Linked DNA regions of Lonchura striata. The protein of the gene in region 1 interacts with the protein of each later gene in a biochemical or structural test. Links are inferred from orthologs where the notes say so. Each region holds a gene or a part of one and is shown on either strand. Other genes may lie near its edges.

The links.
Region 2: the proteins of ECT2 (region 1) and RACGAP1 form a complex in vitro, tested with the Homo sapiens proteins (3 studies listed by BioGRID and IntAct, with this or other methods). The link is inferred for Lonchura striata from reciprocal best matches to the Homo sapiens genes ECT2 and RACGAP1.

Annotation. Positions count from the first base shown.
Region 1 is NC_134612.1:22,322,524-22,332,654, reverse strand, and holds the start of ECT2 (protein ECT2), read left to right. Parts: upstream 1-5,306; 5' UTR 5,307-5,316; coding exon 5,317-5,446; intron 5,447-6,417; coding exon 6,418-6,497; intron 6,498-6,598; coding exon 6,599-6,691; intron 6,692-7,595; coding exon 7,596-7,778; intron 7,779-8,310; coding exon 8,311-8,400; intron 8,401-9,325; coding exon 9,326-9,433; intron 9,434-10,131. UniProt on the Homo sapiens protein: Guanine nucleotide exchange factor (GEF) that catalyzes the exchange of GDP for GTP. Promotes guanine nucleotide exchange on the Rho family members of small GTPases, like RHOA, RHOC, RAC1 and CDC42.
Region 2 is NC_134629.1:8,760,967-8,771,973, reverse strand, and holds the start of RACGAP1 (rac GTPase-activating protein 1), read left to right. Parts: upstream 1-6,668; 5' UTR 6,669-6,727; intron 6,728-8,140; 5' UTR 8,141-8,144; coding exon 8,145-8,229; intron 8,230-8,709; coding exon 8,710-8,912; intron 8,913-9,248; coding exon 9,249-9,385; intron 9,386-9,586; coding exon 9,587-9,656; intron 9,657-9,869; coding exon 9,870-9,923; intron 9,924-10,627; coding exon 10,628-10,705; intron 10,706-10,803; coding exon 10,804-10,921; intron 10,922-11,007.

The DNA.
Region 1 (10,131 bases):
TAAAACCCACACTCAGCATACCGAGTGTAAATAATTGGTACCCATCTCTTCCAACAAAACTCATTGGTCCCCAAACTCTGGCAAAACTGAGCCTCACTCCTCTCCAGCTACTTATCTCCTCAAAGTAGGAATAAAAAGGTTGGATGGGATTTTTCTGAGGTTTCTCATGCTCCCACTGACCCCCCACATACATCTGGTGCTTGATCTCTCCCCTTCCTCGTATTTTGAAAACTGCTGCCCACATACATCTGGTGCTTAATCTCTGCCCTTCCTCATATTCTGAAAATGGCTGGCTAAACTGAATCAATGGCTCTTTGAGGAATCTTGTCTTCCAGGTGCTTAAAGAGAAGTCAGTTGATTGAAAAAAAAACCCAAAAACAACCCAAACCAACAACAAACCACTGTGGTTTGAGAAAGATCCCTTTGTTAAAAAAAATGTAAAAGATAAATGAAACCCCAGGATGCTTGCAAGACATCATGGGGCTGGCAGTTTACCTATGTAAACTCACACCCTGAAGCTAAGGAAGAGACCCCAAATTCCTGGGACCCAAAATTCCTGGGAAACACAGGGCACCAAGGTTTCCTTGGACCTCCTGGGGTTCCATCAGCTTTTCCAGTGTGGGCTCCTTGTCTTTTTGCCACAGGTGTGAGATCCCTGCTCTCAGGCAGGCGTCGTGTCAGGATTTATTTAATGATTTAATCTCCTGAAACTTTCTCCCTGTGGGTGTCACTGCTTGAAGAAAGTATTTAACTACAAAATAAATGTTACACTCCTGGGTTACTGATGCCTTCTTAACTGGGAGGAAGGGCAGGTTTCAGCTGCATGTTATATTATTACATTTCACAGAACACAAAATAATGGGTGTTTCTATTTCCGAGCCTTTTATAAGAAAAGCACTTTGATGTTTAAATGTCAGACATATGAAAAATAGTAATTATTTGGTCATCAGTCCTGTACTATTCTTTAGTGAGGATAAATGCACTTGCTTAAAAAACCCAACAACTTAGCCATGTTTTTTAAGTGATTAATGCCTAAAATTTGTCTATGTTCTGTTCCTGGGACTCCAGGTTCACCAGAATAACCAAAGTGCTTTATCAGTTTGTAATTCTGGATTTTCAGTATGTTGGAAAAAAGGCTAATACAAGTCACTCCCAAATGCACAGGGACCCTCTATTTATGTACCACACCTCTATTTATTTATTTATGTATTTGGGTATTGATTATATTATTTTTTAAACTTTTAACTGAGAAGTGATGCATCTTATTGCCTCATTACTTCTTATTACCTCTTAATCCCTTGTCCAATTAAATATGGTTCTCCTGTCTTTGCAAGCACATTTTATACAGACTTTATTATTTTTTTGAGATCTTGACATTAAGTGAAAATTAATGTGCAATCACCAATATCTTTTCCAGAAACAAGTAATATTAACTCCTGCACTGCAGAACTTGTTGCAAACCTAGGAGAAACCTGACCCCTGGTGTGGGGGAAACCTGGCTGAAAAGGACTTTTTTAAGAGTGTGCAGTGGAAAATCCAGTGAAAGCTGGCCCGGAGTGGAACTGCAAAATGATGGCCCAAGTGGGTACTTGAAGGTGACAAAAGGACCTCAGGCAGGGATGGATTTTGATTGTAAGTTATCATTGAAATTAGTCAATGTGAAATAAAGCAATTGTAGGGCTTGTGTAATTGTGTAATAATTTGACCCAAGTGTCAATATTGAAATGACCTCCTTGTTTTCCAGGCTGTTATTCTGCAATCTTTTCCTCAGGAATATAGTCCTAATTTCTGTAAACCTCATCAGCAAATATATACACAAAAACAACACCCGTTACCATTTTCTATGCTTTTTCCTATTTTGTTTTTTCTTTCAAATTATAAAAAGTCAATGGGCTTTTACAGTTGCTGGATCAGTCATGAAAAAGCCTGATCTGAAGAAAATTTGTTGTATAAAAAAAAATTGGACCATCTAAGAGTTCAGTTTGACAGATAATAGAACATTATAGAAATAGAAAAATGTATCTCTCATTGTTTTTACACTGGGAGTTTACATTTGCAGTGAAACATTGTGCTACATCAGGTTCCAGGATGCTGAGCTCCTAAGAATTCCTTTCTGTACCAGTAAGCTTTAGTATTGGGGAAAATTAAAAATAAAAGGACGCCTTAAACACTTGGTATAATTAATTTATTTCGTGGCTGCTGTCGTGGAAAATTAAAAATAAAAGGACGACTTAAGCATTTGGCATAATCAATTTATTTCAGGGCTGCTGCCGTGGAGTCAGCTGGTTGATTTTCACCTTGACCACTCGTATTTTCCCGGCAGCTCCTGTTTCCTACGAGCTGGTTATTCTGAAACTCAATGCAAGAGAGGCGCACCGATAGCCGGTTTTTTTTTTACTTATTTAGCAGCATTAATGTTTTTGCGGTGACCACAGCGGCTTTCTCCTGGTGCCCTGGGTTGGCGTGGAGGCCGGCTGGACACGGGGCCGTGAGGGAGCTGTGAAGGGGCAGTGAAGGAGCCGTGAGGGGGCACTACGGGCCGTGAGGGGGCCGTGAGGGGCACTGAGGGCAGCGCCACTCCCGCCCCGCCCGCTCCATCCGGGTCTCCGAGCGCGACCGTTACGAGCGTTCGAACCCTGCGCCAGCCAATCAGCGCAGAGCGTGCCCCTCCCGGCAGCCAATCAGCGAAGAGCTCGTCCCCACCCCGGCCACTCAGCAACCTGCGCTTGGTACCGCAACAAGCACTGTGCCCAAGAAACCTCTCACAGCCAATGGGGGCTCGCTCCGCCTGAGTGGCAGTTGTAGCGACCAATCGAAGGGGACAGGGGCGCAGGGCTGGCGAAAAGGAAGGGCAGGTAGGCGGGGCATCTTGCTGCTGTGGCGAATGAGGGAGCGGCTTACGGAGGGGCGGTGGGGCCGTCAGCCAATGGGCGGCGGTGTGAGTGCGGTGGCTCGCTTTTTGAATTGGCGGCGGCCGCTGATGGCGGCGGGCGGCACCGGCGGTGAGGGGGCTCCGGGGCCGGGGGGCGCGGGCTGTCTGGAACGGGGTCGGTGTGTCGGGCATCTGTGGGGCCTCCGGCGCTGCCCCGGGGCTCCTCAGGCCGCCGCCGTGTCAGTGGGCAGGGCGGAGCCCCGGGCCCGGCGGCACCTGCTGGCTCGAGAGGCGGCGGCGGTCCCTCGTCCTGCCCTGTCCCGTCCCGTCCCCGGCCACCTCCCTGCACAGGGCTCGGGAATCTTCCTGGGTGGTTCCTCGGGAAGCGTGGGATGTTTACTGTCCTGTCCTTGCTTTAACAAACATATTTTGGTTTGTGTCCTTCAGGCTTTCAACAAATTATTGCGAGGTAATTTCTGAGTGTGATGCTGTGAGGGTATTAGATTTGCCTGGAGCCTGTAGTGATGTTCTGACTTTTGCTGTTTGTATGAGGGAATACTGTTGTGTTCGTGTCTGTGTGTGCTGTTTGTTCTCCTCTGTATCCTGGCACTTTCAGTCTGTGGGTTTAATGAAAAAATATTGCTGTTATTAAAACAAGAAATGCTTTTAAACACACCCAGGATGGAATCTCAGAAATAAATAAATTAGAAAAATCCATAAAGAAAATCAATACCCAGACCAAGGTCTGGGCTTCTTCAAAATGAAGTTCTTTGTGAGTTCATGGACATTTTACTTGGTATAATAATAACTGTACTGATGTCTCAGACTTCTAGGAAATAATTTCTAGGATTTAAGTTTAGTTGTGTCTCTAACTGGAGGGCTTGTTTTCTTCTGAATTTACATTGTAATTGTCCTTGTGGTAATCATTATTAACAATGTGGTTTGAATCTGCCAAGATTATACCTCCCTCCACTACTGCCAAAAAAACTGGTAGCTGTAGAACTGTTCCTGGTGGTGATAGGTGATTCCCCAAAGACTCTTTATGATTGAGGTCACTCTCTACTCTTGCTCTGAGAAAAATGAGGTGGGTGATTGGGACTTAGGTCTAGGAAACTCAGCTCCAAGGATGTACAGTTGTGTGTGACCTTGAAATTGAAATTAAGGTGGCATGTCTGGTAGCTGAATATGTCTAGAATGATAGATTTGTAAATTGGTTATTGCTCATCACTGTATTAAGAACTTGTGTATTATGAAGATTTGAATCCTTTCCACGAGTCCCAGATGTGATGTCTGGAAGATAAAGTTTTTTCTGTATTGCTGGTATGCCAAAGTGCCCATTGCTTTTTTGTCTTCTGACTTTGCTGTGTAATAGGATGGTCATTACACAATTTAAAAAATAGTATGTGCTGTTCTCTAGGGGTTTTACTGCCTCAAGAGCCCTCTTTCAGACAATGCTCTAGTGGGTTATTTTAGTAGCTGCTGGTTTAAAAGGGCACACACAGTCACAAGAACGATTTCAGTTCAAGTGCTACAAAGGGTTATTATCGACAGCAGCTCAGCTGTAGCTGCTGCTCTGATCAAGGTAACTCCTGATCTCACTGTGCAAACAATGAAATCTGGGTGTGTGCTGAATCACAGGAACTGCAGCCTGCCTGCCTCGTGTGTGACCGAAAATGGGCAGGTGTCTGAGAGCAATCTTTGTGCTGCAGGATTTGGGTAGGTAGCTCCCAGAAAATGAGAGGGTTAAGGATTCTGCCTTTCCAGTAGGTGACAGGTCTGATGGGCAGGGAGAGCACAGATCTGTTCTGTTTGAGAGGAGAGAGAGGCCTCTTTATCTAATAATGAAAGGCTGCTTCTACTCTGTCACAGTTAATGCAGGACAGTAAACCAGACCATGCAGCTAGACATATATGTGCATATCAACTTTGCAAAGAATCTCAAGCTTTTATAATTTTTCTAAGAGTAAATCTGGGTGCTCATTTCTAACCACAGTATTTCTAGCCAGTTCACCTGAAAAATCACTTTTTAGCAAGATGTTATGCTTACCCAAATTCTTCTGCTAGTGTTTCAGATCAGCAATGCTAATTTTAGTCTCAATTGTAGCTTATAATAGTTTGTCACTGAAAGAAACAAGTGCTTTTAGTTTGGTGCTTTGTGGTTAAGGTTCTTTAAATGAGCACTTGAGTTTGTGCTTGCCTGTGCTCAGAGCTGATGAATTACAGAACCATTTCTGTAACAGCTTTGTTGTCAGTCCTTTGTATCAGTTGTGTTCCTCTTGATGCTCTATCAGTGTGAGTAGGATTCAGTAAGAGCCTAAATATTTTGTTTTCTGAAGTCACTTCTGACAGCCTTGGTAATAGAATTCTATGAATGAGCTTTTTCACCTGTAACTGAGCTTGGCCCCTCCACCTTCCAGCTGTTGAAGAAAGAAACAAAGCATAATCATGGCTGACAGCAGTACTCTGGTATCTGAAACCGGGAGGAGCCTCTTGGCTGATTCTTCTGTTCTTGATTCAAAAATTATAGAAACTTCCAAAGAGAATGTATTCCGTGCAACTGTTCTGGATGTTGAAGGTAATGGGGGAAGGTTATTTTAAGACTGCTTGCTTTTTGCAATGACTGATTACTTCATTGGTATTTAGTAGTTTTGAAAAACCAAAAGTACTTTGAACTCCAGAGTGTATATAGAGTAGGGAAAACGGTGTTGATCTGGGATAATTTCATTAAGAAAGTTTGATGTTACAGCCCAAATTGAATGAATTTTCTGGCTATTATACAGAAAGCTGTCAGTTCCATTTGATGCCTCTTCTGTGGAAAAAATCACTCCAGGTGACATTTTGATACCAGTGTTTGGAAATGGCAGCTGCTCGGTTTTGGATAGATTAATACGTATAAGGTAGGGAGGTGAAGAGATTAGTAGTCTTAAACCCAAAATTAATTCAAGAACAAATCTTGAAATTAAGTAACAATCACCAATGTTTTCTTCCAAGGTAGTAGCCAAAAATCTGCTGGTGGTCTGTTGATGTAAATGATGTGGAGGCAATGCTTGTTCTTCCTCCTAATATTTCGAAGCCTTACTAATACCTGTTAAAAAAGAACATCTAATTTCAGTTCTGATGTTCTTGGTAACTGCTCAGTTACCAACAAAGTAATGAACACAGAAACTAGACAAGATACCAGCTGGCTATTTTCCAGCAGATCTCGGTATCTAATTCTGCTAAAAGCATTTAGCCTGTAATTTTTTTGAGTTTTCATTTGCGTGTTTTCTTTCCTCTTCCCTACCCCTTGATTTGTGTTCTTGCTTTGACTGGTCATGAATTGCAGATTCTTGTTTCACCTCATACTTGAAAGTTTGGGCTCTAAGTCAATTTGGTATGCCTTAATTGAAGGACACTCTTCTCGAAGTAACTGTTATTTTCAGGATTGCTCCTGATAAGGAATCTTGAAAGGCTACTTGTATTCTTGTATACATTATTGCTTGATTTTGACATGACGTAGATTTTTCTGCTAAAATACAAATATTATCCTTGCTTCTCTCTAAGCAGAAGAAATGCCTCAAATAGAAACAAGAGTGGTTTTGGTTCAGGAAGCAGGGAAACGTGAGGAGCTTCTCAAAGCCTTGGAGGTATGTGGGCCTGAGATAAAACAGTCACTGGAAGGACATGTTATGCTTTCAGACTTGTTGTAACCAATTTGCTTCTGGACTAAAGTTCTCCTCTTCCACAGACCATTAAGATAATGGAAGTACCTGTTATAAAGATAAAGGAAAGTAGCCCTGATAAATCAGAAGAAAAACTAATAAAAAGTATTATTCATATGGTATGTCATGCAATTCAGCACATGTAATTGCATGCAGCATGTTACACTTCACTGGGACTGAAATGCTTTAATTTGGATTAATTTGGCATAATGGTCATAATATATGCTAATGATTCTGATGGTGTCACAGCTAATCAAAATTAGCACTTTTTAAAAATATGGAGTGATACTTATAGCTCTTATCTAGTGGTGTTTTCTAACAGGGGCATCACAATATCCATGGGTACATCCAGCTGCATGCTTGTGTTCAGTCACACATAAGTTTGTGCTATGAACTGGCTTTGTAATTGTCAATGGATATCTCTTTCAGCTGAAAGCTGCATTCAAACTGAAGTGCAAGAAATGCTTTTCCATTTCTTGATGTGAAAGACATAAGAGATAAAGTTTGGAATTAGTGTTTGAAAATTGAATGGACAAATTTTTTTAACCCCTTAAAAATATAAAGCAATTAACAAAACCTATTTCTGTTCTGTAGGTGCTGTGCAGCATGGAACTTGCTGTTACCAACTGGATGCTGCTTTTTAGTAGCATCCTACAGTACCCTAAGCTGTTCTGACAGTCTGAAATTTCATTTATCTTTTGAGCTTAGGGTGTTTTTTCTATCTAGCTCATTCCAGTGCTACATTGTCAGTGTGAACTGATACATAAACTGCTTAAACAACTGGAATTCTGATTCTTCAAAAGCAGAAATTACTTTGACATTCAGTCGTAAAACATGCAGCAGTTCATAGCTATTCTTATGCTAGAGAAGAGTGCATTGCATTCAGCTTTTACAAATCCTAACTCTGTTTCTGAAATACGAATCACATTTTTCTAATGGTCCAAAATAAACCTTATTTGAATTTTACACTGGTGCAAGTGTGTTGTCTGAATAATGCTTTCCCTTTCACCCCTGTGCCTCAAGGAAATTAAAACACCCTACATAAAGACAGACACGATAGAAGAGCTTGGAGATTCTGATTCCCCGGAATTTGAGACGATCTTCGTCGTGTCCGACTTCCAAGCTCCCGTCTTCAGCAGCCTCTGCAAGGCGGATTGCAGAATCATCGGGCCGCCAGTCCTGCTGCACTGTGCACAGAAAGGAGAGGTGTGTGCTTCCTGCTGCAGTCAGCTCCCTGCTGCACTGAGTTCTGCGAGTTCACAGTAAAATCTCTCTTGCTCTTCCAATCGGTTATAAACATTCCTAGCAAGAGAATTTTAAGAAAAGCAAGTTACTAACGCTGTGTTAGAATATTTTACATAGTGAGAGGGTGCAGTCAGACAGTGGTAGGGCTCTGAGTGCTGCTGAAGTTGTGGGAGTTGTTGATCACCAGTTGGGATTGTGCTGTTAGGAAAGGCAGCATACAAATGAATCTCCAGTAATCACTTTATATTTACAAAAGTTGTAAGGTGGAGCAGATGGATTGGGGAGGAAATAAAAGGATGGAGTACTATCTGTAGAACTTGGGGATGCTCTAATTACTTTATCAGCAGGCCTGGAGCAAAGGTATAACCACAGACCTGGACTAGTGTCTGATGGATTTTTAATATTAGAAATAACAGTAATATATTAAAGGTAATGTGAAAACTTTAATGAGTGCAGTATGCTGTTGACGCATGAGCTTTCTTCTTGTTTACAGCCTTTACCTTTCTCCTGCCGTCCACTGTACTGTGCAAGTATGTTGAACTTGGTACTGTGCTTTACAGGATTCAGAAAGAAAGATGAATTAGTAAGTAATTTATTCTTCTTAGGATTGGTAAAACCATGTTAAATATATTTTCAAGATACTCTTCTGTTCCATCGCCCATAGGGTTTAACCATGGCTCAGGCTTTTATGGGGAGAATAAATTGTTTGTTCTTTTGTTTTTTTTGCAAGTCCAGAGGCAGTGATATTTGAGAATGGGAGCAAAACTTAGTTCAAGTCATTTTATCTGTGTCATTTTTGGTCAATTTTTTGTTTAGTGACATTAAAATGCTGTAATTCAATAGGGCTTAAAGGTTTGTAAGTTGAGGTTTCAGATAAGATGTTTACCCAGTAGTGTCCTCTTTTTTTGTACAGGTGGTAGAATGGGCAAGTAAATCTTTGTAGCTCTGTTCATAGCACTTGCAGGCATGTTATCTTGTCATGATATTGTGCTATCAGGACTTTAGTCTTTGTTTGATACTCTAGGACTTTGCTTTTCCATTTCAGTAGGCACTTGCCATCTAATTTTCCTCCTAGACACCTGGGAATCAACAATATGGCTCCATATCTTCATCAGAAAAAAACCAAATCCAAACCAAAAGCTTTTGCCTGGTATTTGGGTTAGTTAGGTTTGATCTAGAATTGTCTAAATCAGCAAGGAAAATATAAAATTTAACATGTGGGAAAAGGTGAAGGCATTATGTGTGATGATCATGAGACTACTGATGGCTTGGATAGTCTTCAGGCTACACAGCAAGGCTGTACTAAATGTTGAAATAAAAATAAATCATAATAGTTCTTTTGATGTATAAGCCATATCTTCTGTCGATGTGAACAAGTTGTTTTAAGAACAGATCAGAGTATTTCTATTTCTAGACATTTAATATAACCTTCTGTAACTTGCTTTGTAAACCACTTTTTGAACTTGCTCTTCAAAAGATACTTAAAACTTTTCATCTTCATTTTACAGGTTAAACTTGTGACCTTGGTTCATCATATGGGTGGAATTATTCGAAGGGACTTTAGCTCAAAAGTTACTCATCTGGTGGCAAACTCAACACATGGAGACAAATTCAGAGTATGTAAGCTTGAGTTGTGTTTCATAGAAACCTTTGGAATTTGGCTTTTGTAGACTCTTTGTTCTTTATACTTCAGCTCAGAAGCTGCTGTTTTTTCCTGTACTAACATAAATAACTTGTAATGATCAATTAATCTGTCTGGTGTTGAACTTTGGCATGTTTTTGTCTCTGTGGGAGAGCTAAATAACATACATTTGAAATAGACAAGTATAGTAAATAACAAGATTCCAAAGGGTTAAGTATTGATGCTACCAGTAGTAAAGACAGTGATGAACAAATGCCTGCTTTTGTCTGTCCAAACAATCAACTTTGAGGTAGCTTGTAAAAAACTTTAGTCCTTAATTGGTACATATGATTAAAAAAAATATTTTTAACTTGTGGGTGAGGATTCAAATATTCCTTTATACATAAATAGACCTGAGTATGCTTTTTCTTTTTGGATTCTAAAAGGGAATCATTTGGGACATTTGTGTTCTAGAAGTAAATAACAGATTATAGTTTTTTGTACTGTTTAATATGACATAGCAGTGTCTAAGTCCCTTCACTCTCCCTTGTTTGAATTGTTGGTAGGGTGTTGCTTTTTTTCCCCTTTTTTGTCTTTATAATCTTGCAGTTTGAAGAGAAGTCCTACTTTCTGTTCAAACACTCCTTTCTGCCAACTCAAAGGGGAAAATGTATGAAAACTGTACAGTCTCTC
Region 2 (11,007 bases), on another chromosome or scaffold:
GGTGTGCGGTGAAAGGGCTGGGGGAGTTGGGCAGCTGGACCCACAGCCATTGTCCAGGGGCTGCTGCTGCCCCCCAGCATGGCCTTGTCCTTGTCCCCTGTCGGCAGAAATGACACATTTCTCTGGAAGGAGGGGCTTTGTCCCCTCCCGTGGCAGCCAGGCCCATGCAAGGAGCAGATGGAGCCCATCTTGAACGTGCAGTCTCAGCAAAAGAAAAGCCAATAATCGAGTTAATTACAGCCGTTATGCGATCACTGGGGATTCCCAGGGGATGCTGGCAATGGAGCAGCCCTTTGCTCGCCATCCGCAGCCCCCGGCCGGGGGCTGAGCTGCCCTCCCTGGGGATGGCTCGTGCACAAACCCCCTCGATGGACTGGCTTGGAGCTCTGTGGTTATGGGGGCTCTATCATCCCTTCCCCTGTGCTTTTCCCGGCTGTGTCTCCTGGGGCAGATGCACAGGGTGGCTGGAAGTGCCGAGGAGTGTCTGCTCTCCCCACTAGCTGCGCCTCTGACCGTGCAAAACGTGACTATCCCGAGGGCAGAGCATGGTCTGCCCTTGTCTCACTGCTGAGAGAAACTAGGAGAGAAAGTGCAGCAGCTCCTCTGTTTAAAAGTGAATTTTAACTCGGCTTGAAAGACCACAGACCCATTACCTGGAGCCTCTGGGGCGGCTCTGCCCTGTCCCCCAGCCGTGCAATGTCTGATCAGTGACACAAGAGACTTTCCAGTGGAAATGCCTGCCCGGAGGCAGCGCTCAGCTCAGGCAGCCCGAGGATGTGGATGTGCTGGTTTGCCCTCTTGGTGCCTCTGCTCTGCTCCCCTTCAGCTGAGCTAATAAAGTTTGGACTCGTTAAATCCACAAATGGTTTCAAAGTCGATTGCCCTGGGCTGGCTCGCAGCTCCCGCCCACCCTTCCCCTCGCTGCTCTGCCGGGGAGATAAGGATGGCAGTGGCTTTAATTCCTCACTTATGCATCGACTGCCAATTCTCCTGTCCGCTCACCCTTGATAAATATTGCACAAAGATTTGGCGGCCAGCGTGCCAGAGATAAAGGTCCGGTCCCACCAGATCTCCTTCCTCTGTGCCTTTTGTCTCGTTATGTGTCCAATTTGTTGAACAACCCACCTGCTGCAAGAGGCTCTTCCCATCCCCACTGCTGCCTCGGATTATTGCTAAACCTCTGTGTGAGCCTCCAGCCTGGGCTGGGAGCTGAGGATGGGGAAAGGCGCTGTCATTTCCAGGCCTTGAGCTGTCATTGATCGGGGATCAATAGCGGAGCTGCCTTGGCTCAGCTCTCCAGGCCTGGCAGGATCCTCGTCGCTGGCGTCATGTTGGGACTGAGGTGCTGCCGTGTCATCTGTGAGCCCATCCCTGGGAGCAGAGCCCAAGCCAGGATTTGGGGATGCTCCTGTTCAGCAAACATACAAAAGAGAGTGTGCCAGGGGTTCTGGCAGGGTTTAGCCTTGCTAAAAACCCACTTTGCACGTGGGAGCTGGGTGAGCACGGTGTGGGGTGCCAGGAGCTGTTGGGACCATGTCACTGGGAACTGTGTCACCGCTGTGTCTCTGCTGGAAGTGCCTCCCCCAGCTCAGAAACCCTTGAGGGGCTAAAAGCTGCTGCTGTTGGGGGTGCACAAATATCTTAGGAAGATGTGTCACCGATGGGGTCGTGGCACAGGGAAGGTGCCCAGCGCTGCTGTCTCTGCAGGACCATGCAGAAAACAGCAATGATGCTGCAGCTCCTGCCCAAGCCTCAAATTTCAGTGCTGCTGGAGGTGAGGGCACAGGCAGAGGCCATTGATTGGGGTGGAGAGGGAGAAACAGGAGGGAAGGTCTCACAGAAACCCGAGTATGAGTATAGATCTGGTTGGTGGCATGCTAGAGCTGATATCCTCCCTTTGCATCCTCATCCTGAGTGTTGTCTCTCTTATGAGAATCTCAAAGTAAAGAAGAGACGAGTGTTGCTGAGGTCTGGATGCCTTTGAGCTCAATGTGGCACATAAGTCTGTTATTCCTGCTGGAAGAGCAGCTGTCCCAGGCAGCTCCAGGTGCTATTTAGCTTCCAGGTCTCTGGACTCTGCAGTTTGGCAGTGGCTCTGACAACATGCCTTGATCACTATCGTTTTTAAATCCATGAGAAATGTCATTCTGAAGTGCAACAAATAACGGTCTGATTATCTGCTGGATCCTAATGCTACTCCCTGGAGATAACAAGCTGCAATTTTCCCCCTGGGCCATACAATAATCGCCCCAATTACTCCCAAGCAGTGGTTATTAAACTCATGGCACCGCTTTGGTTTACAAAGCAAAAATCATTAAGCAGGTGTGTGTGTGTGTGTGTGTTTGTTTGCTGTTTGGCTGGGAGTGACCGAGGTTGTTCTTGTTTTGTTCTGGGAGAGGAACTCCTGGTGGCTGTGGAAAACCTCCATGGCTTTCCCGCTCTGTGTGGCACAGTTCTGTCAAGAGCCTCCGGATGATCGACCAAATAAAATGCAGTTGGTGTCTGTTAATGCTGGGCCAGGTATCCCGGAGGATGTAACCTCTCTCCAAGTGTAACGTGGAGGGATTTAGGGAGATAGTGTGGTTAGCACAGCTGGGATGTGATGGGCATCTCAAACACAGCCCCGGCCCTGGCAGGAGCGGGCGTGCTGCTGTGCCTTGGATGGATTGCAGGTGTGACTGCAGGGTGACACCAGTGTCCCATGCCAGCACAGGTGTCACCCACAGCTCCATCAGCCTCCAGGCAGAGGGCACAAGGTCCCTTTACCTTTGTCCCAACAAGACCCATGCTGTCAGGGAGATTTGATGTGTCTCTGCACACAAACACACGATGGCTCGCTCGGACATGGAGCTTCCAGCTGCTCAGGGAGAACAGAGCGAGCAAGAGGAGGGAGGGATGACCAGGACAGGGAGGCAGGCTGGTGAATTATGCATGACTCCAGGAGGGGAGCGTTATCTGCATGGACAAAGGCCTGTGCCAGCAGCCTGGCTCCGCTGTACCTGTGCCTTCCTTCGCCCGCGCTTTATCTCCGCTCCCAGCTTGTAATTCAGCCCAAATATCAGAGGAAGCTGGAAGATTAATTTTCTCTGTTTGCATGGCAAAGGAGAGGGGACACGCTCTCACTCCCGACTCCCAGCTGTTTAATCCTCCACCAAGGCCTGCCGAAGGAAAAGGCAAAAATTTATCAGTGTTGGCAAGTCGCTGGTGTGGGGAGGGGTGTTGGAGCCCGGGGCCCCCCACAAGCAGGTCGTGGGCACTCACAGCAGGCTTCATGTGTGGGTAGGGTTTGGGGGGCACTGAGAAAATGCAAACCCTTCCCTGCTCCCAGCATTTGGGTCCAGAGGAGGGTGTGGGCTTGGGAGAGCCGGAGTCAATGAGTCCCTCCGGCGTGGGAGCGTTCATGGCTGTGAGTCGCTCAAATATTTAAGAGATGACAACTGTATTAATACAAAAACTAGATAAAGATCCCTTGAGTTTAAAGACAGAACCATCAGCTCAGCTTTTATTTCCCAGCCCTCTCCCTTAGCTTACTCCCCGGCTTAAATGAAATCATAAATATCGGCCCACAGAGGTCCTTTGTCACCGCACGCAGCTCCCGGCGACAAGAGGTCATTCATTAAAAGCCAGATGAAGGCAATAGAGACTCCCTTTGTTTTTTAAGGAGTTCAGGGTAAGGCCGTGGCTTCTCTGCTGGCATTAATGCACCGGTGGGTTTGGCTCATCCCATCCAAGTGATCTTCACCCCAAAGTTGATGAAAGAAACATCCCGGGTTCTCTCAGGTGGGACATCACAGATGAACCTGGTTTGTTGCTGGACTGATGGCAAAACCAGAGCCCCTTTTTCCCCCTCCTCACAGACCCCATGGTCTCATCATCCCCCTCCCCACAGACCCCATGGGCTCCTTTATCCCCTCGTTACAAACCCCATGGGCTCCTCATTCCCCTCCTGCCAGCCCCCGTGGGTGATGCTCTGGCCACATTTTGCCCAGCTGAGGGATGGCCGAGGCCCTGCAGCTCCCACCCAGCACATGAGCCTGATGCCATCTGCCGGCCTCTGGCTCTGGCCAGCCAGGAGAAATCAGAAATTAATTCTCTAAAAGGTCCATCTCCCTCTGGCTAAACTCCAACTGCCCCCCCTGCCCAGCCTGATGGATTTTTTCCTCACACTACTGAACAACTCCTTTTTAACACCCCTGCTGTATGAATGAACCAAGAGAAATGCACCTAAGATAATTTCCCCCCATTTTTTTTCCCTGGAGAAAGGTTGCTGTCTTAAAGTTTCTCATTCCCCTCGCTTCCCCCTGCCTTTTTATTTTTTGAATGACTGTTTATGAAGACCATCGTGGTCTAACTGGTTTTGGATTAAAAGGAACTTAATAAAGGTTTCCCCTGTGCACAAAGCTGCACAAATGGGTTTGCAATTGCAGAGTTAATTACAGGAGCTGGGCAGAGCAATCGGTGTTTGCAAAGCTTCACCAGAGGATGAGGCTGGCAGGGAGAGGTTTGGCTTTGCTCTTTGCGCACACTGCGAGGCACTGGGGCAGGTTTCCTTCCATTTTCCCCAAAAATTGAGGAATGGGGTCACCAGGGAATGCCACTGGCATCAGCACCAATCCTGGTGACATCCTGGGGTCTCATCCCAGGGTCACATTCCGGGCTCAGCCGGTGTTGCCCAGAGAAGGGTCTGGGGTGGCTGGAGGAGAAAGGGCTGAAGAGCAACCCAGCGAGGCTGAGGGAGGAGCTGGAGGAGAATTTCTGCTGCCTGAGAATGTGAAGTGCTTCCGCCAGTAATCGCCGGAATCATCAAATTAGCATAAATTCTATTAACGGTTTCCCAGATGAGACATTTCAAGGCTTCTCCCCCCCTCTTCCTGACACAAACAAAAAGAGAATATAATTACTTTGCCATAAAGCAGCTCCTGAAAAGGCCCTCAGTCCTTCTGCCTTTCTTCTCCTGTGGAATAAAGCTCCAAAGGAAAGGTGCTGCTGATCTCTGTGCTCTCATCATTCATCAACCAAGGAGGAGGAAAGAAACTCCACAATGGTTTTAGAGCCTGGGCCTGAGAGCAGGGGCCCATTTGCCAGGTCCACAGCACAGGTTGGGGCAGTTCTGAGAAGCTTTTTGGGGTGCTCAGATCCTGCTGCCCTCCCGATTCAGAGGGAGGACGATGGTGGAACACATATGGAAGAAATGCAATTTGTGTAACACAAGCCCAGCACCTACTGCAGTAACGCACAACAAGCACCGCGGGGGCAATAATCTAAAATAATGTGCTTTTTTTTTTTTATTGGCACGAGATTGCGGATGACGATTTGAAAGAGAACAGAATTTGCTTATGAGCAAAAAGCCTCCTTAACTCTTCAGAACGACACTAAAACAACTCGCCTGCCTATAAATACAATCTGCCAATAGAGGCATCTTAGCTGTGAAGATTTAATTACAGGCAGGAGCTGCAGGAGACTCGGGGCTGAAGCAGCCGAGCCTCATCACAATTGGGGGGATGTACCTGCACAGAGCCAGGTGTAACTGTCAACCTCCAACTTCAGGGGCAAATTGGGATTTTGGGTGATTTCCTGGACTAAAAGTTAATACGTCAAGGTCAGGACCTTTCTCTCGCTTGGCCATTGGCTCTGAGGATGAGTTGTGTCTCTTCTAGGCCTCAGTTCCCCTATAAATGTGGATAATTTTGGCTCTCTTCTTCAAGGAAGCCTCAGTAACATTTACTTTCCCAAAGATCCTAAGGCTTTTTACAATCTATTACAAATTAATTATTATTAAGTTAAAACAAACTATATACCCTAAATAAAGCAGTTCCAACAAAGCAGCTGGATGATGAGAGCAATCTGCTTTACAAACTCCCTTTTCCACTGCGCAATTTTCAGCATTTAGTTCCGCTTTCTAATTGCTAATATCCATTCTTCAATTACCCGCTGTTTTGTTTCAGATTTAAAAGATTAAAGCACGTTGTTATTTTATGATTATGTGAATTCCCTTTGTGTAATTGTTGGGTTTGGGTTTTATCTGTTTGCATATTAAACGCCTGCACAGGGAAGAGTCATACGTGGCTTGAAATGGGTTTTGCCTTTGGCGCAAGTTGCCGGCTGTTACTCAAATCAAAGTTTGGAGACGAGGAGCAGGCAAAGCATTGTATTTCTCAAGTGACAGCACCCCATAAACAGCCTCACGGTGAATTTCAACGTTCTCCCGCTGCACCCAGCCCCTTGCCCTGACCCTTTGCAGAACCAGCACGGGGCGCTCAGGCCCACACGAGCCCTGCGCCCGTGGCTTTGCTGGAAATAACAACCCGGTTTGGCCTGAGAAGGGCTTTTCCTGCCCCGAACAGCCCCTCTGGAGCGGTGGGCACGGAGCAGGCCCAGGCCTGAGGGTCCCGGGCCCTCCCGGCGTCCCCGTTGCTAAGCAACGAGCGCTGGCACCATCCGCCATCACAAAATATGGCACCTGGGCGGCTTCAGCGCGCGGGCAGCCGCGCCCCGCCGGGCAGGCAGACCGCGCCCTCAGCAGACATGGCACCGGGCTGGCTTCAAGGAGCCCACTGAGCGCAGCCAACGAGAGGCAGGGGGAGGGGACGGGGGGAGCCGGGGCGCGCGGCGATTGGCTGGCGGCGCGGATTCAAACCGGAGCGCGGGGCCGTTGGGGCTGCGCGCGCCGCTGGGGCCGGAGCCGCGGCCCGGGCGCCGGAGCCTGAGGGGAGCCTGAGGGGCTCGGGTGAGTGCGGGGACCGGCTGGGAGGAACCGGGGGCTCGGGGGAGCCTGAGGGGCTCGGGTGAGTGCGGGGACCGGCTGGGAGGAACCGGGGGCTCGGGGGAGCCTGAGGGGCTCGGGTGAGTGCGGGGACCGGCTGGGAGGAACCGGGGGCTCGGGGGAGCCTGAGGGACTCGGGTGAGTGCGGGGACCGGCTGGGAGGAACCGGGGGCTCGGGGGAGCCTGAGGGGCTCGGGTGAGTGCGGGGACCGGCTCGGAGGAACCGGGGGCTCGGGGGAGCCTGAGGGGCTCGGGTGAGTGCGGGGACCGGCTCGGAGGAACCGGGGCTGAGGGGACTGCGGGGCATCCTGAAGGCTGAGGGGGGCCCTGGGGGGAAGGATCCCGGGCCCGCCCAGGCCCTTCCATCCCGGCGCTGTCGCAGCCCCGGCCGCCCGGCTCGGAGGGCGCTGTACGGGCCGGGCTGCTCCCGTCCCTGCGGCCTCGGGGGTCGCGGTGATGGTGGTGATGGTGATGCTGGTGATGATGGTGATGCTGGTGCTGGTAATTGAGGCACCGAGCTGGGCGTGCCCCGCGCTGTGCGTTCGCACGACGGGGGCAGAGCTTTTCCTCTCGCCTCGTATTGCACCTATTAAAGTATCGAGGTGTTGATGCCCCTGTGAAGTCTGTACCTGTGGAACAGGTACCCCAAAGCCTTCTGTGCTGGCAGGTTTATGTGCCCTGCACCTCTCCCAAGCCTTCCAGCACTCGCTCATTTCCCAGCCCCTGGTGCCCTGCCTGCTCCTCTCTCATTTGTGAAATCATTTCTGTCTTGCTGAGCTGGAGACTTTCCCCTTCGCTGCCTCTGTTTATGCCGTTGTTGCTGCTGTTTGGGAGAAATGTGCTGACTGGTTGAATTTTAACAGCTATTTGCAGGAGGAGCTGTAAGTTAAAATGCAGCTAAATATAAAACTGTATTAAAATTCCCCGGAATGTTGCTCCTATTTTTATCTTACAAAGTGCTGAAAACTTGCAGGTTTTTAGTGGCCTAGATAGTACCAAGTTATTTGTGGGCAGGGCATGGGCTGTGTTCTGTAACCTTTCTGAAGGGAAGGACTTGGGATCCCTCATCTTGCCTTGGGTTGTGAGTGTCTCTGCTGTGCCGCGGGACAGTGGAAGCACTAAGGTGGGCAGATCTGCCTCTCTCCAAGGCTCTGTTATCCATAAACCGTGGAGGGCTGTAGATTTTCATTCCCAATGAGAAAAAGTAGATGCATATATCTCCATAAAACATGAATTTTGTTTGTGCAGCTTCTCAAACCCGCCTGAAAGCATTACAACCAGTAACTCTGAGGCTGGTTCTCTTTCCTTTGGGCTGGTTTCTGCTCGGAGGTGGGAGGGAAGGGTTGAGCTGCTTGTTCAGCTGTGTTTTTTTGGCAGGAGGATGGAGATTGCCATGGTGAACCTGCGGGGTCTGTACGAGCATCTCACGCGCCAGGCCGAGCTTCTGAGCGAAGGAAACGAATGCCGTGAGTTTTGTCCCTGAAGAATCTGCTGAAGATGCTAAAACCAGACTGATCTGGGCTCTTCCTTTGTGGAGAAACATCAAGTCCCAGCTGAATTTCCATGCAGGGTCACGTTCTGCTTGTAGCAAACTGGCTTTGTCCTGTGTTCCAGCTCTTCTGGGTGGTGCTGAAAGGAAGAAAAAAATGAGAAATGGAAGAGCTCATGGCCATCTCTTGTGTGGCTGGCTTCTCCATGCCTCAGTTGGGAGCAGGAGGAAGAATGTCTTCCTGGAAAAGCCAGTTGGGGATTGGAGGGGTCTGCCCAGGGAGGTTTGGACACATCCCTGGAGGTGTCCAAGGAATGGCTGGACGTGGTGCTGTGGGCTGGGTGACAAGGTGGGGATTGGGTCTTTTCCAACCTCAGGAATCCAGGGATTCTTTGTGAAGCTGCTGTTAGCTGCTCCTCTGCTTGCCCAGCTAAGGCTTCATGTGCTTTCTCCTCAGAGTTTATTCAGTTAGCCAAGAACTTTGAGGAGAACCGGAGGAAATGGCAGAAAATAGAGGAGGAGCTCAGCAGGTGCAAAGATCGCCTCATGAAGACAGAAGCTGAACGCAGTGCCCTGGACGTGAAACTGAAACATGCCCGCAATCAGGTGGACGTGGAGATCAAAAGGAGGCAAAAAGCTGAAATGGACTGTGAGAAGCTGGTGAGTAATTCCTGTGTTACCCCTCAGCTCTTGAGAGTGTGGAGACAAGGCGATTAAACTGCACTGATCAGTGGCAAATAAGGACTGGCACCCATGGGGAGGAAAGGAAAACTAAAAAGCAAGGAATTGGCTCGGCTCCTCGGAGCAGCCTGCTGCTTTGATCTGGGAAAGGAGACTGGCTGCTGATGGAACCTAGCTGCCATTACCTGTCTGCAGCCATTAGCAGTCCATTGACACAAGTTCTGAGAGCTTATCTCGGCTATCTCAAGCGCTGGGTCGGGTCTTACAGTAATTAAACACGGTGTATCCAGCTGCTGATATTATCTTTGTTTGAAGGAGAGGCAAATCCAGCTGATTCGGGAGCTGCTCATGTGTGATGCCTCCGGCAGCATCCAGCTCAGCGAGGAGCAGAAGTCTGTCCTCGCCTTCCTGAACAGGCCACAGGCTTCAGTGGGAAGTGCAGGCAACAAAAGGTAGGGAAACAGCATTTCATCTGAAGTGTCAGGCATCAATCCAGCTGTCGGCCCCTGTGACACATCCTGCACCCATGTCAGCAGTTTCCCTTTTTGTTCCACTTTAAAATACGGCTCTTCTGAGTCAGTGGGATTGTTCTGGAACCGTGACTGACTGAAAGCCAAACTGATACAAGCTTCTTCTAATTTGTGTTTTTTTAGGCTGTCTACAATAGATGAATCTGGCTCAATTCTGTCAGACATCAGCTTTGACAAGAGCGATGACTCACTGGTAATGTAACTCCATTTCTCAAGTTCTCCTCCCCTGTAAAGCCCGAGGGGAGGGGGTTGATCTCCAGAGACCCTTTGTGTTTAGATTACTGGGATATTAACCTGGCTGAGCTGATTTGCATTTCCGAGCCTGCTGTTGGCTAAAGTTTGATGAAAGCCCTGGCCAGGGGCTGTGTGGTATTTACCATTAACCAATGCTGTGTCTTTCCCCCAGGACTGGGATTCTTCGGTGGTGAAAGCTGTCAGGCTGAAGAGGCGAGAGAAGCGGGTATTGTTCAATTGTTCCTGTCACATAGTTTCCATTGTTCCCCCTGGCTGCCACAATGCCACCATCTGTCACCTCACAGCCACCTGTAGTGACCTCTGAGCCACTGAAAACAGACCTTGTGCTCCTACTGTGGGGGTTTAGATTGAAATTTAGGTCTGAAGTCATTTGTTTACTGAAAATAAGTGGAGTTTAGTATATCCTGTGCTGTTACAGTCTGGGGTTTGCAAGAAAACACTCGGAGATTATTAACAGCTCCCAGATTAGGGGAAAATGGTGTAGGAAGCTACATTTTTCTATTTTGTAAAGGAGCTTGTGCTCATTCTGCTTTAATCTGCAGAAGATACAGGTGAGAAAGAGCATGAAACCATCACCTAGTGGAGCTGGGAAGAGTCTGGGACTTGCTTAATTGCTGGTTTTTTTTGTGTGTAGTTCATGGGTTTGTTGGGGCTTTTTTGTCCTCCTTCCTTAGGTCCAGTTTCTTTTTTTTCTGATCTGAATGATGAAGCTGGCTAGGAAAATTATTTGAAAGAGTTTCACTAATTCTTCTGGCACCTCCAAGGTTGCCATGAAGCAGTACCCCTGAAGGACTTGTCAGCACACACCACAGATGCATGAAGTGTTCAGTCCTTCTAGCCATCCTGGGCCAGTGTAATGCCAAGTGAACAGCATTCCTGCTTTGAGAAAAGAATGTGCTCTCTTTTCAGCGCTCTTCCAGGCAGTTTGCTGAAGGCCCCCCAGCTCCTCAGAAGAAATCCAGATCTATCAGCAACACAGCAGACCAGGTATGGTGGTCACAGCTGGCTTCGTGTACACCTGGTCACAGTTCCTGCCTCTTTCCGGGGCCACAGCAGTTCTGTCACTGGTGTATTTGTCATTCCAGGCTAATGAATCCATAGTAGCAAAGACCACTGTGATGGTCCCCAACGATGGTGGCCCAATTGAAGCCATTTCTACCATCCAGACAATGCCTTACCCTCGGAGGAGCCGGAGGAAGAGTGGTAGGTGTAACATCCCTGTCCTGTCCTGACACATCTACACAGGTTATCCTGAAATGTTTGTTATTCCTGCCAGGACCTGGGAACTG